3 linked regions of the Drosophila melanogaster genome follow. The protein of the gene in region 2 interacts with the protein of the main gene of each other region in a pairwise test. Each region holds a gene or a part of one and is shown on either strand. Other genes may lie near its edges. The genes, in order: Usp20-33, FoxL1 and bab1.

Evidence for each region.
Region 1: the proteins of FoxL1 (region 2) and Usp20-33 interact in a two-hybrid assay, tested with the Drosophila melanogaster proteins (one large-scale study listed by BioGRID).
Region 3: the proteins of FoxL1 (region 2) and bab1 interact in a two-hybrid assay, tested with the Drosophila melanogaster proteins (one large-scale study listed by BioGRID).

Annotation. Positions count from the first base shown.
Region 1 is NT_033778.4:14,237,928-14,241,682, forward strand, and holds the start of Usp20-33 (ubiquitin specific protease 20/33), read left to right. Parts: upstream 1-2,004; 5' UTR 2,005-2,102; coding exon 2,103-2,186; intron 2,187-2,283; coding exon 2,284-2,650; intron 2,651-2,707; coding exon 2,708-3,500; intron 3,501-3,559; coding exon 3,560-3,755. Other genes in the region: Snrk (SNF related kinase), read right to left, coding at 21-387, 449-624, 703-921, 989-1,194.
Region 2 is NT_037436.4:4,016,802-4,020,556, forward strand, and holds the start of FoxL1 (forkhead box L1), read left to right. Parts: upstream 1-2,076; 5' UTR 2,077-2,292; coding exon 2,293-2,663; intron 2,664-3,595; coding exon 3,596-3,755. UniProt on the Drosophila melanogaster protein: Transcription factor. Coordinates the placement and migration of various organs during embryogenesis, including the salivary glands, hemocytes, germ cells and Malpighian tubules.
Region 3 is NT_037436.4:1,098,949-1,102,703, forward strand, and holds the start of bab1 (bric a brac 1), read right to left. Parts: upstream 2,142-3,755; 5' UTR 1,689-2,141; coding exon 153-1,688; intron 1-152. UniProt on the Drosophila melanogaster protein: Probably acts as a transcriptional regulator. Required for the specification of the tarsal segment. Also involved in antenna development.

The sequences.
Region 1 (3,755 bases), on a different chromosome or scaffold from region 2:
ATTTGTGCTATTGTACTCACTGCAATATCTCTTCCTTGGACGCAATGTTTCCGTTTATCATTTTTTGTATGATAAAGGCGTGATCCTCTTCGCCCAGCTGTTCGCGACTGACCAAAGGCAGAAAGTGCTCTGAGGTGGAGGTCGTCGAATCGGGCTCATCGATGGGCTTTAGCCAAGCCGATGAAGCAATCTCTTCCACAGTGGCCCGTTTCTTTGGATCCCGCACCAGCATTGAGGCAATCAGGTCCCGACAATCAGTGGACACGTGCGAGGGTACCGTGTACTTACAATCCATGATCATGGTCAGAGTTTCCGAGTCGTTGGCCTTCTCGAAAGGCGCCTGACCGCAGACCAGCATATACAGAATTACTCCCAGGGACCAAATGTCTAAACAAATCAGATAAAATGATTAACAAAGGGTTATGGGACATATTAGTTGTCTACATACCAACTGCAGGCGCATCATAGGAGTCGCCCAGCAGGATCTCTGGGGCCGAGTAGGCCAAGCTGCCGCAGAAGGTTTCTAGCTTTTGGCCCGGCAAGAACTTGTTGCTAAACCCGAAGTCGGTGAGCTTGACAAGGCCCAGCTTTTCGAAAAACACCACGTTCTCCGGCTTTAGATCCCTTTGTAGGAGAATTGAATGTTACGTAAATCAGTGATCGGCACAATACGCCGTACTATCAGTTAGAGCGCGCTCTCACCTGTGAACCACGTGAAGCTGATGACAGTACGTGATAGCACGTAGGATTTGGCGGAAATACTTTCGGGCCAGTTCCTCGCTGAGCCCAGAGTCGTGCTTCATTATGTAATCGTATAGATCGCCACCATCGCCAAGCTCCAAAACCAAATACAGCTTGGTCTGGGTATCAATAACCTCGTACAGTCGCACAACATTTGGGTGCTGCACCAGTTTCATGCATCTGGAGTTTATAAGTGCAGCGGGATTATTGAAAAAAAAATTGTGGATTGATTGTTATAGCTACTCACCGCACTTCCTGGAACAGATGCGCCTTGGACACATCGTCCAACTTGGTTTTGTCCACTACCTTGACCGCCACCTTGGCACCGGTGAACACATGCCGGGCCAACTTCACGACGGCAAAGTGTCCGGATCCCAGTGTCTCCTCCAGATCATAAAGACCAGCGATCTTGCCGTCGCTCACCCCGCCAACGGGCTGCGTCTCCAGCGTCATGATGGCTCCTTGGCACTCTTCCAACGGCCTGCGTGTTGGCCAGGCACAACTATCCGCGATTAGCTAAAACTATAATTATAGAGTTCTATTATTTCGTACACGGGATGTTTCGCTGGCAAAATACTGCTTCATGAACTTATTGATGTAATAGCTAGCGGCCTGAATGACGCTGAGCAGTAGCCCATCCCACAGGGGCACTTGCACACTCATCGCCTGCTCCCAATTAATGATTCATTTGAATGAGTCCTTTTTACATTCGATTCCCAACAGGAGCATCGCAAAAGCAGGGCTGTTACACAAGGGAATGCGGAAAGGCAGGGCCGTTTTACCTTGTACAGCGGAGGGGGTAGTCGAATCTCCGCCAGCAGATGCAGAAAAAACTATGAGGCATCACCCATTCCGGTTTGGGTACGACTAAACCAGGCCTGTCACTGGCCGCTCGAACGTCTAGCAGTAAACTCTTGGCCCTTATCACTCATGAAAACGCTTAGTTACACTTTTTGTATACACATTTTCGACTATTTTCTGCGTTTTTTTTTCCCGAGTTTCAAATAAGTGTGGCCGAAGGTCTTACAGTGGGGATGGCACGCCAGCGATGCTCTTAACCAGAAGTATCGTATTGGAAAAAATTATGATGTATGTTTAAATTATTTATACTTATAAATTTTAATTGGTTTGGTCTAAATTTTAAAATTTATTCTAAGTCGATACTCATACGCGTTCTAAATCATCTAAATATTAGACGAATAATATCCGCTTGACTCCCGGTTTTTTGCTTCGGTCACACTGACGGACAATACCAAAAACACCATCCGAAATCGCAAACGCCTTTTCTGCGGTCGTTTCCAATCAAAATTCTCAATTAAAATATAAAAAAAAAACAAAATACTGGCAGCTAGGGAACTATAATGAGTTTGAGTTCCAACCCAAATCCGCACAATCCATATGTAGAGCACCGCAACCGCACCATACACAGCAGCCAGGGCCACACGGTAAGGTGTGGGGGAGAATTCCGCTCCAGGCGAACTGTCGCATTTGTAGGCATTGTTTAATGCTCGATTACATGACTTTCGATTTTTTCTCGGTCAGCTGGCGAACGGGTATGCCATGGGTGATCCAAGGAGCAGCCGATGTCACGACAAACTCTTCAGCGGATCGCTAAAATCGCTTGCACGGCGCGAGGACTCGAACGCCAGTGACAGTGAGGGCACAGACACAGCAAAGGGCTCGGGCACGGGACTCGTGGGCCTGCAGAACATTGCGAATACCTGCTATATGAACTCGGCACTACAGGCACTGAGTAATTTGCCGCCGATGACACACTACTTTATCAACTGCAGCGACCTTGTGGAGTACATAGCAGAGCAGAGCGCACGTCGCTGCAAGCCCGGCGGGCTGGCCAAGAGTTATCGTCGCTTGATGCAGGAAATCTGGCAGGATGTCGATGATCCCAAAGGTTCAGCCTTTCACCCTCTCTTAATCGGAAAACCTACTAAAGTTTGAGATTTTACAGAGTTTATTGCCCCGCGTGGTATTCTGTATGGCATTCGCACGGTTCATCCCATGTTTCGGGGCTATCAGCAACACGATACCCAGGAGTTCTTGCGGTGCTTCATGGACCAGCTGCACGAGGAGCTGACAGAGCAGGTCTCAATGCTGCCGCAGACGCAGAATCAGCCGCAATACCAGTCACTTCAGCAGCAGCAGCCCAGCGAAACGGATGACGAAAACGATGATGAGGCAGCGCCTGCGTCCTTGTCACATGCATCCGAAAGCGAATACGACACCTGTGAAAGCAGCATGTCGGAGCGATCGGCAGAGGTGTTGCTAAAGACAGAGTACTTTGTAACGCCCTGTCGGACAAATGGTTCCAACAGTGGGCTGCCAGAAGGCCATTCGGTGCAATTGCAGCAGGCACCGTTGCAGCATCAGCAAAAAAATGCCTCCTCCGCCGAACAGAAACCTATAGAAGCAGCGCGCTCAATAATCAGCGACGTGTTCGATGGCAAGCTTTTGTCCTCGGTGCAGTGCCTGACCTGCGATCGTGTGTCCACACGCGAGGAAACATTCCAGGATCTCTCGCTGCCCATTCCCAATCGTGATTTTCTGAACGTTCTTCATCAAACCCATAGCTTAAGCGTGCAAAGTTTGAATGCCGCTGAAACTTCCGCTAGGACCAACGAAGGCTGGCTGTCCTGGATGTGGAATATGCTGCGCTCCTGGATTTACGGACCCTCGGTGACGCTCTACGACTGCATGGCCAGTTTTTTCAGCGCGGATGAGTTGAAGGGAGACAACATGTACAGGTGAGAAGATCCTTTAGGATATATAGGCGTTTCAATCAATCAGTGTATGTACTTTTCAGCTGCGAGCGCTGCAACAAACTTCGGACGGGAATAAAGTACTCCCGCGTCCTCACCTTGCCAGAGGTTTTGTGTATCCACCTGAAGCGGTTTCGCAACGATCTTTCTTATAGTTCAAAAATCTCCTCGGACGTTTACTTTCCGCTGGAGGGCTTCGACATGCGGCCGTACATTCACAAGGATTGCAAGAGCGAGGTG
Region 2 (3,755 bases):
TGGTGTCGAGTGATTAAATCAAATTTTGACAAGGTGTCGACTGGCGGCACTCCGAGTGTATTTGCCGCAAAGTGTGCCTGAAGTTGAAAATCTTACAGTGGAGCTTCATAAACAGGCACTGTACGGGGAGTACCCAAGTACCTAAGTTTGGCTAACAATCTTAACACAGCGGATTTGAAGTAACTAAACTTTGAGTATCTTAACATGCAAAAGAGTCGAGCGATGTAACATGTCGCTTTCTCTCGAGGCTCTACTGTAATGTATCTCAGCTAAATGCAAGCAGTTCACAGCATAAATCAAGCGATGACAACGTGAACAACAACACCGGTAGTCACGCACTAAACTATAACTATAACTACGCGATTACACACAGCGATTAAGTTGCGGTTGGGGAGCTGCGCTGCGACTAAATAAACAGGATCCGAGGCGTTTTATGGCTTAGTGCGAGGGATATGTCAAAAAAGATGCGGTGAAATGCATAGGAAAACATAGTTTCACAACGAAAAACATCGATCGGTGTTCGAAGACGAAATCAGACCAAACCGAGCTGGGCCATAAAAAACAATATTTGTTTCCAATACTATTCCCAGCATAGGTCTAAAAATAAGCAAGCTAAACACGCAGGGCAGCGACATCTTCGAGAGAATCGGAGGACCATGGGCCATAGGATAACCCATTGTTTTATGACCCATTCTCACCAGCGGTAAGCGATCGTAAAATTTGAATAAATCGGGAGAGAGCGTGAAGAATCCTTTGTGGCATTGGCATCATCCACACATGTGAACTTCAATTGCTTCGGGCATTTTGGATTTTCAGTTCTTCGATTTGCGTTCAATGTTTTTATTTCTTTCAAATGATCTCTGCTTTCTACTTGAGAACGGAACGATCGTAAAAATCGAGCGTAGTCCTGTTTGAAATGTATACACAATTGTTTTACGACCTTTTAAGATATAGACCAAGACTTTCGGTTGCATTCGGAAAATTGCGTACTTGACTGCCGCGAGTTTACTCTCGCTTTCCTTCGTTCGCTCGGAAAAGTCGTAAAAATCGGAAGGCAACTGCCACGAGATAGCATGGGATGTCAAGGGACCAGATAATGCCGACTTCTGGCATTATCTTGCCAGCTGCTATCCGGTGGAATGTATAAACGGAGTGCTTCTTGGAATCGCTTTATTTAAATAATGTTTACAAACCAATTGAACTGACGAGTTATCAAAGCTCTTTAGTGAGTGCTATCAAGAGATTTGAAAGTTATAAAATGATTAAACATCTAAATGAACTTTTTCAAGCCAGAAAAAGGCTAAATTAGTGACTAACTCACGCAATGATTACATACATACATATGTAACCTATCATAATACTGCAGTATAATCTTTTTTAATAACTGGGACTAACGATGTACGCATGAGATCCTAGAAGCTTTACATTATTTCCAAAGATTTAAAAATTCCCTTTCAAGTGCCCGTAATTCAAGTGTAAACTTTGCTCGATTTTCATTTGTTGAAAAATCAAAATCTACATATTATTCAAAACACACTGGGACTCTCCCACACTCACTCACACATGGGGAAAAGGTCTTGACTCCGCCCATCGAGGAAAATACAGGCAAATGAGAATGGACATAAATAAACATGGAAAGAGTAGAGAACATATTTGTAGGAACGCCCCCTCAAAAGAGAGATCTGCCATATAACGGGTATATGCGAAAAAGATATAGTATAAGCAAGGATATTAATTAGTAATGATATAATCAATCTAAATCTAGTACTACAAAGTTAATAACTGAATACACTTAAATATTAACAACATCATCTTATTATATTATAACATAATAATCTCAAATATATTATACTTATTTCATATTTCAATTTATTCAATTTCTTCCTTAATAAAATTTAAATTTTTCAAGGAAAATTGTTTTCCCCTCTCTGAGAACTTACGCATGTGTGGATCTTTTGGTGAGGGTGTTTGCATATCCCTATATTTATAGACCAATGCGCTGCTCTCCCCCAAAAACACACACCCATAAGATTGGGATGAGGCATTACAAGTGATCTGCGTATCCGAGTTCATTCATTAGTCGATCGGACTTCTTGGCTGACGCAACACATGGTCCACAGTCGCGCTCGAATCGCCCACAAAATCGGAAGTAACAGCTAACCGGAAAACAGGACAAAAATCCTAAATATCTAACAAGTTAATGTGAAGTGATATTCGAAACAAAGTTCCCGAAAGATACATAAAGAGTATAAAAGAACTTTGAATCAAGTTACTGGGATTTCGTTTTGAAAAATGTTACCCTCTTGCTATGCCAATGGATCGATGCTGCCGGATAATGAGGAGCTGGTCAACTCCATGCTAGCGAATCCGGATTATCTCAGGACCCAGGTGTCACCCAATCCGCTGGCTCCAAGTGCCGTCGGAGGTGCGGGCATGGAGGGTCTGATGTGCGGATCGTTTTCACCGGCCTTCTACTACCAGGGCATCGATAGCTTTCTGGCCCTGCACAACAACATCTGGGGATTGCCTATATCCTTTCTGCACAACTCCCATCGACCGGAAAAGCCTCCTTTCTCCTACATTGCCCTCATCGCCATGGCCATCAGCAGTGCACCCAACCAGCGACTGACCCTCAGTGGAATCTACAAGTTTATCATGGATAAGTAAGTTAATTGAACAATACAAAAATACGAGATCTTTGATAGATCAATAAGTGAATTTAGTTTGTAAATCAGCAAATAAAATTTCCAATTTCTGTACATATATTCTACTAAAGCTCTTGTTTTTACAATCCTACAAAAATAAATGTTCCGCCTTGTCTTAAATCGAGGAAAATTTAGATGACATTCTTGGCTAAATCAAATGCCAAAATAAACAACCGCCACATTCCAAGTATCTGTACAAACCAAAGAAGTTTTTATCCCGAGAAGAAGTTTTTATCACGAAACTTTTGCCACAACTGGGATTAAGTCGGTGAAATATGGAGCATTAATCCAATTTCTTAATGTGAAAATATATAAATATCACGCAGATTACTTGGTAATTATCCATATGAAATGGTTTCATTTATTGGCTTAAATTTATTAGTCATATCTTTAACAAATATTAAAATATATATGTATATATTTCCTTTCCTGAATGAACAGAGTGCATAAAAAATGGCGGCCAGATATATAAAATAGATCGCAAGTAATTTGAAAAACAGGAAAATGAACAATGTGTTTGTAAACTAAATATTTCCGATTTCTTTATCAACATAAACAAATATTATTTTTATTGCTTTTTCAAATCGCTTGATTTAAACAAACCAGCGGAGGATATAGATATGGGCTAATAAGATGTGTATCAACAGCAAGTTTTTCAGATTGTAAAATGATTTTTATATATACAAATTCAGATATTCAAAGCTGTGAAATTCTGAAGTAAATAGTTTTGATAAACACGCATTCGATTTATATTTATAAAATATCTTTTCCATTGTTAATTTATTGAAAATAAAGTATATATGTTTACCCTTTCAAAATTTGATAAAAATGTCAAGGAAATATAGCTCCTAATTAATTAATTAATTGGATAATATCCAATTATTTTTTAGATTCCCATATTACAGGGAGAACAAGCAGGGCTGGCAGAACTCCATTCGCCACAATCTGTCCCTCAACGACTGCTTCGTGAAGATTCCGCGGGACAAGAACACAATCGAGGATAACGACAGTGCTGGGAAGGGAAGCTACTGGATGCTGGACTCATCGGCA
Region 3 (3,755 bases), 2.9 Mb from region 2:
AATTGAAGAGTCTTCTCTTAACTGGCATATGTACTAACTTAGAAAACGATTCACAACATATGAATAATTGAAAACAAAAGTACGAAAGTTATCTTTAAGGAAGATGAAATACAAAGATAAACGTGAAATTTAAGTTGCTTAGATTCACTCACCCTTTCTTCCTCTCGGATCATCTCGGCGATCCCTGGCTTGATCTCCAAGTCATCGGCGAGCGAGGATCCCCCGCCTGAACCCACTCCGCCTGCACCTCCTCCTCCAACTCCCCCGCCGCCCACTCCACCACCGCCATGGTGGTGCGGCGGTGGAGGCGGAAGGCGTGGCTCGGCGGACGGACCTGGTCCCAGGCCACTCAGTTCCCTGGCAGCGGCCATGGCGGCTGCTGGGCCGAGGGGAAAACGGGAATCTCCAGCAGGCGATGCCGGGTGGTGGGCTGATCCGGCGGTCTGGGAGGGATGTGGGGCGGGTGATGCGTGATGGTGCGGATGCAGGGGCAGGGGCAAAGGAAGCTGACCCTGCTGCTGTGCCTGCTGCTGCTGGGGGCTCTGCGAGTGAGGTCTCGACGATCGGGACAGAGGTCCTGGCGTGGCAGCCGGCGATGGCATGTCCAGGGCGTGGATGGCGGTCTCCAGGCGCCTCGTGGCTCCCACTGTGGAGCCACTGCTCATTGGTGGTTTGGGTGGGGGTGTCATCAGCGAACAGTCCCTCTGTCTCTCTCTTTCCTTTTGCTCCAGCTCCATCCTTTCGGCCGCAATCAGGCTGCTCAGTGGACTGGGTGGTGCGGGTGGATTGAATATTGTGTCCGCCGATGGCCACCGGCGCTTTCTTACATTCCTGCCCTGCTGCCGCTCCAGTGGGGAGAGCCTCAGCTCAGCGGGATCCCAGTCCGAAGTGCGTAGCTTCTTCTCGGGCTGCATGAAGGCCAGCAGCTCCTCGGCCTCCCGTTCCCTGTCGTGTTCAGTTCTGGAAGTTGAAGTGCTCTCCTTGGGCGAGGAGGGCATTCTCTCCGACGAAGCGGCAGCCGCTGCTGCCGTGGCCGCCTCCATATGGGTCACATCCGCCAGACCACGCACTTTCAACATCTCAGCTATCCTGAGCAGAGGACCTATCTGGTCCTGGCTCACGTTGATCTCGCCGCGATACATGAACTCCACAATGGCCTTGAGATCCGACCAATTTACGTCCCGCATGATCACAATGGGATGCTGGCAGGGCGTTTCGGCCAGAAGTGTTTGGAAGTAGGGCGAGCAGGCGGACAGGACCATCTTGTGGGCCTTCATGGACCGACCATCGCATGCCAAGGTCACGTCCACGAAGCACTCGTTCTGGAGCAGCTGGTCAAAGATGGTGGTCAGGTTCGTCTGATAGTTGTTCCAGCGCAGGCAGAATTGCTGGGAGCTGGAACTGGGCGAGGCTACCGAAGAACTCCTGCCCTGTGGCGAACTGACGGGCGAAGATCCTCCCCCTCCGGCTACAGCATGACCTTGACTCTCCTTGTCCTCGTCCTTGGCCCCGCCAGTTGGTGAAGTGCGATCCTCGCTTTTGATACGCTTCTCCTCCTGCTGAGTGGGCGAGCTTCTGTTACTCTTGGGCGAATCGGCGCCCGATCCCGTCCCTTTGCGCTGCCTCTGAGCCACTGGTCCCTGTTCGGACGCCAAGCCGACATTCGTCTCCGCCTGCGCCGACGCCATTTTGTCTGCAGCTGATCGTTGATCGTTGATCGTTGGATCACCGGCGATCGTAAACGTTACGCGATCGTTATTCGTTACGCGATTCGCTCTTCACATAGCGTTTAAGGAATAAGCATTCAAAAGAATCCGCGACAATTACGACGCTCAACTGAGAGTGGGCATGTACATGTGCGTATCTGTGTGCGTGCCTCTGTCTCTCTGTGTGTGTGTGTGTGTGTGTGTGTGTCTGGGCGTGTGTGTATGGGTGTTTAACGTATTCGTTACGTTACGCGCACTACGTGGCCATTTGGCAATTAGCCCGCCGCCTCGTTCTTTCAGTTCGATTCGGTTCTCGTCGTCGTGTCCAGTGTTATTCAGTGTGTGCTTTCAGTTCCGTTTCTGTTTCTGTTTCGGTTTCAGTGTTCTATGGCTGTATTGGCCAACAAACAGGGCCAAAAGTCTTCTCAGCACGAGCGTCTGAATTAGACTGAAATCGTTTTGCACATTTTGATACGGAAAAACTCAAAACAAACTTAACACACGACGACGACGATGGCCCACGACGACGTGGATGTGGATGTGGATGTGCGGCTGTGGCTGTGGCTGTGGCAGTGCCTGTGCCTGTGCCTGTGGAAAGCTGAGGGGCAACGTTGATGTTGCAGCAACGGCAACGGCAACAGCAGAAGCGGCAGCAACAGCAACATCAGCAGCAACTGCTACTGCTACTGCTTTGTAGTTGTTGCTCTCAGGCTGCGACTGAGTTCGCGACGAAGTTGCGAATAGTTCGCGAACTGCTCTGCCGGCGCTGCGAAAGGAAAATGCGACGTAGGCAGCGCCGCTTGGCTGAGAACCGACGGCAGAGACAACGACCGAAGCAGCGGCGAGCCCGTTGAAAATGGCTGAAAACGGCGAGCTGTAGGCGCCAAAAAACGCCGGCTAACGGCACCGCATTCCTTTGCTCCTGCGCTGCGTTTTGGCTCTCCTCGAGCTCAACATCGGAATCGGCTTCGCTCGTCCTTCGTCCTTCGTCCTTCGTCGGCCTGCTCGACGCACTCGAACTCGTCCTCGTCCTCGTTCTCGGCCTCTCGCCGTTGCAACCCCCAAAATTTTGGCGCTTTGCCGCCGCACAACTACCGTTGCGTAAAAAGGATGCGTCGCTGCAAGTGGCAAGTGGCAAGTGTGCGTGCGTGAGGAAACGGAAGTTGCCCCGAAAATGCAGCGGAGAGCGACGGCGATTGCGATTGCGATTGCGATTGTGAGTGCGAGTGCGAGTGCGGATTCGAGCTTAGGCCTAATATTTTTCGGAGGTGCTTGGCAGGAGAGGGTGTGGACGAGCCCCATCGACCAGTACCCCTGGCACAAAATAGAGGAACACATCTAGGTGGTCTTCAGGAATTGGGAATGCGGCGAAAATAGTGCTGAGTTTGCCGATTATTTAGGTGATGGATATTATATATCTTATTAGGGTTCTTTTAAAAGCTTAAATTTAAGTGAAAAAATTGAAAAAATTGAAAATTATTAAATAAAATATTTTAATTATTTTTAGAATATTGGAAATCGATATTCATATGTATGAATTGCTTGTAACATTTGTAGTATGAGCATTTTGCGAGAAGTGCAGATTAGTGATCATTAGGTCTTTCGAAGCACATTCCTCTCTCTTTCTATTCTTCCCAAGCCATTACTCTTTCTCCCTCACGCATTCCACCTCATCCGACTGAGAAACAAAACTCGGCTGAAAGATGCTTCATTAATTAGTTCCGTTCGAGGTGTACCCCACACAGCCCCCCCTTCGAAAAACCATCACGAAAAACTCTCTTCGCAGTCGACGTCGCTGCCAGTCGTGCATTGTAAACAAATGCTTAGGCGAAATCAAGATGTGCGGCGAATTGGCTCTCTCTCTTTCGCGAGAGAGTTGGCTGGCGCTTTTCGCCTAAGAGACGTTTCTCTTTCTTTCAGCTGCACCTGCAGTTTTCCACTAGTTTTTCTCGCTCTCTTCATGAGTAGTGGTGATGGGCATTTGGGGGGGTGCCGAGTGGCCGAAGGGGCGGAGGGCGGGGCACTATCGTTTCAGACTGGTCAGCCTCG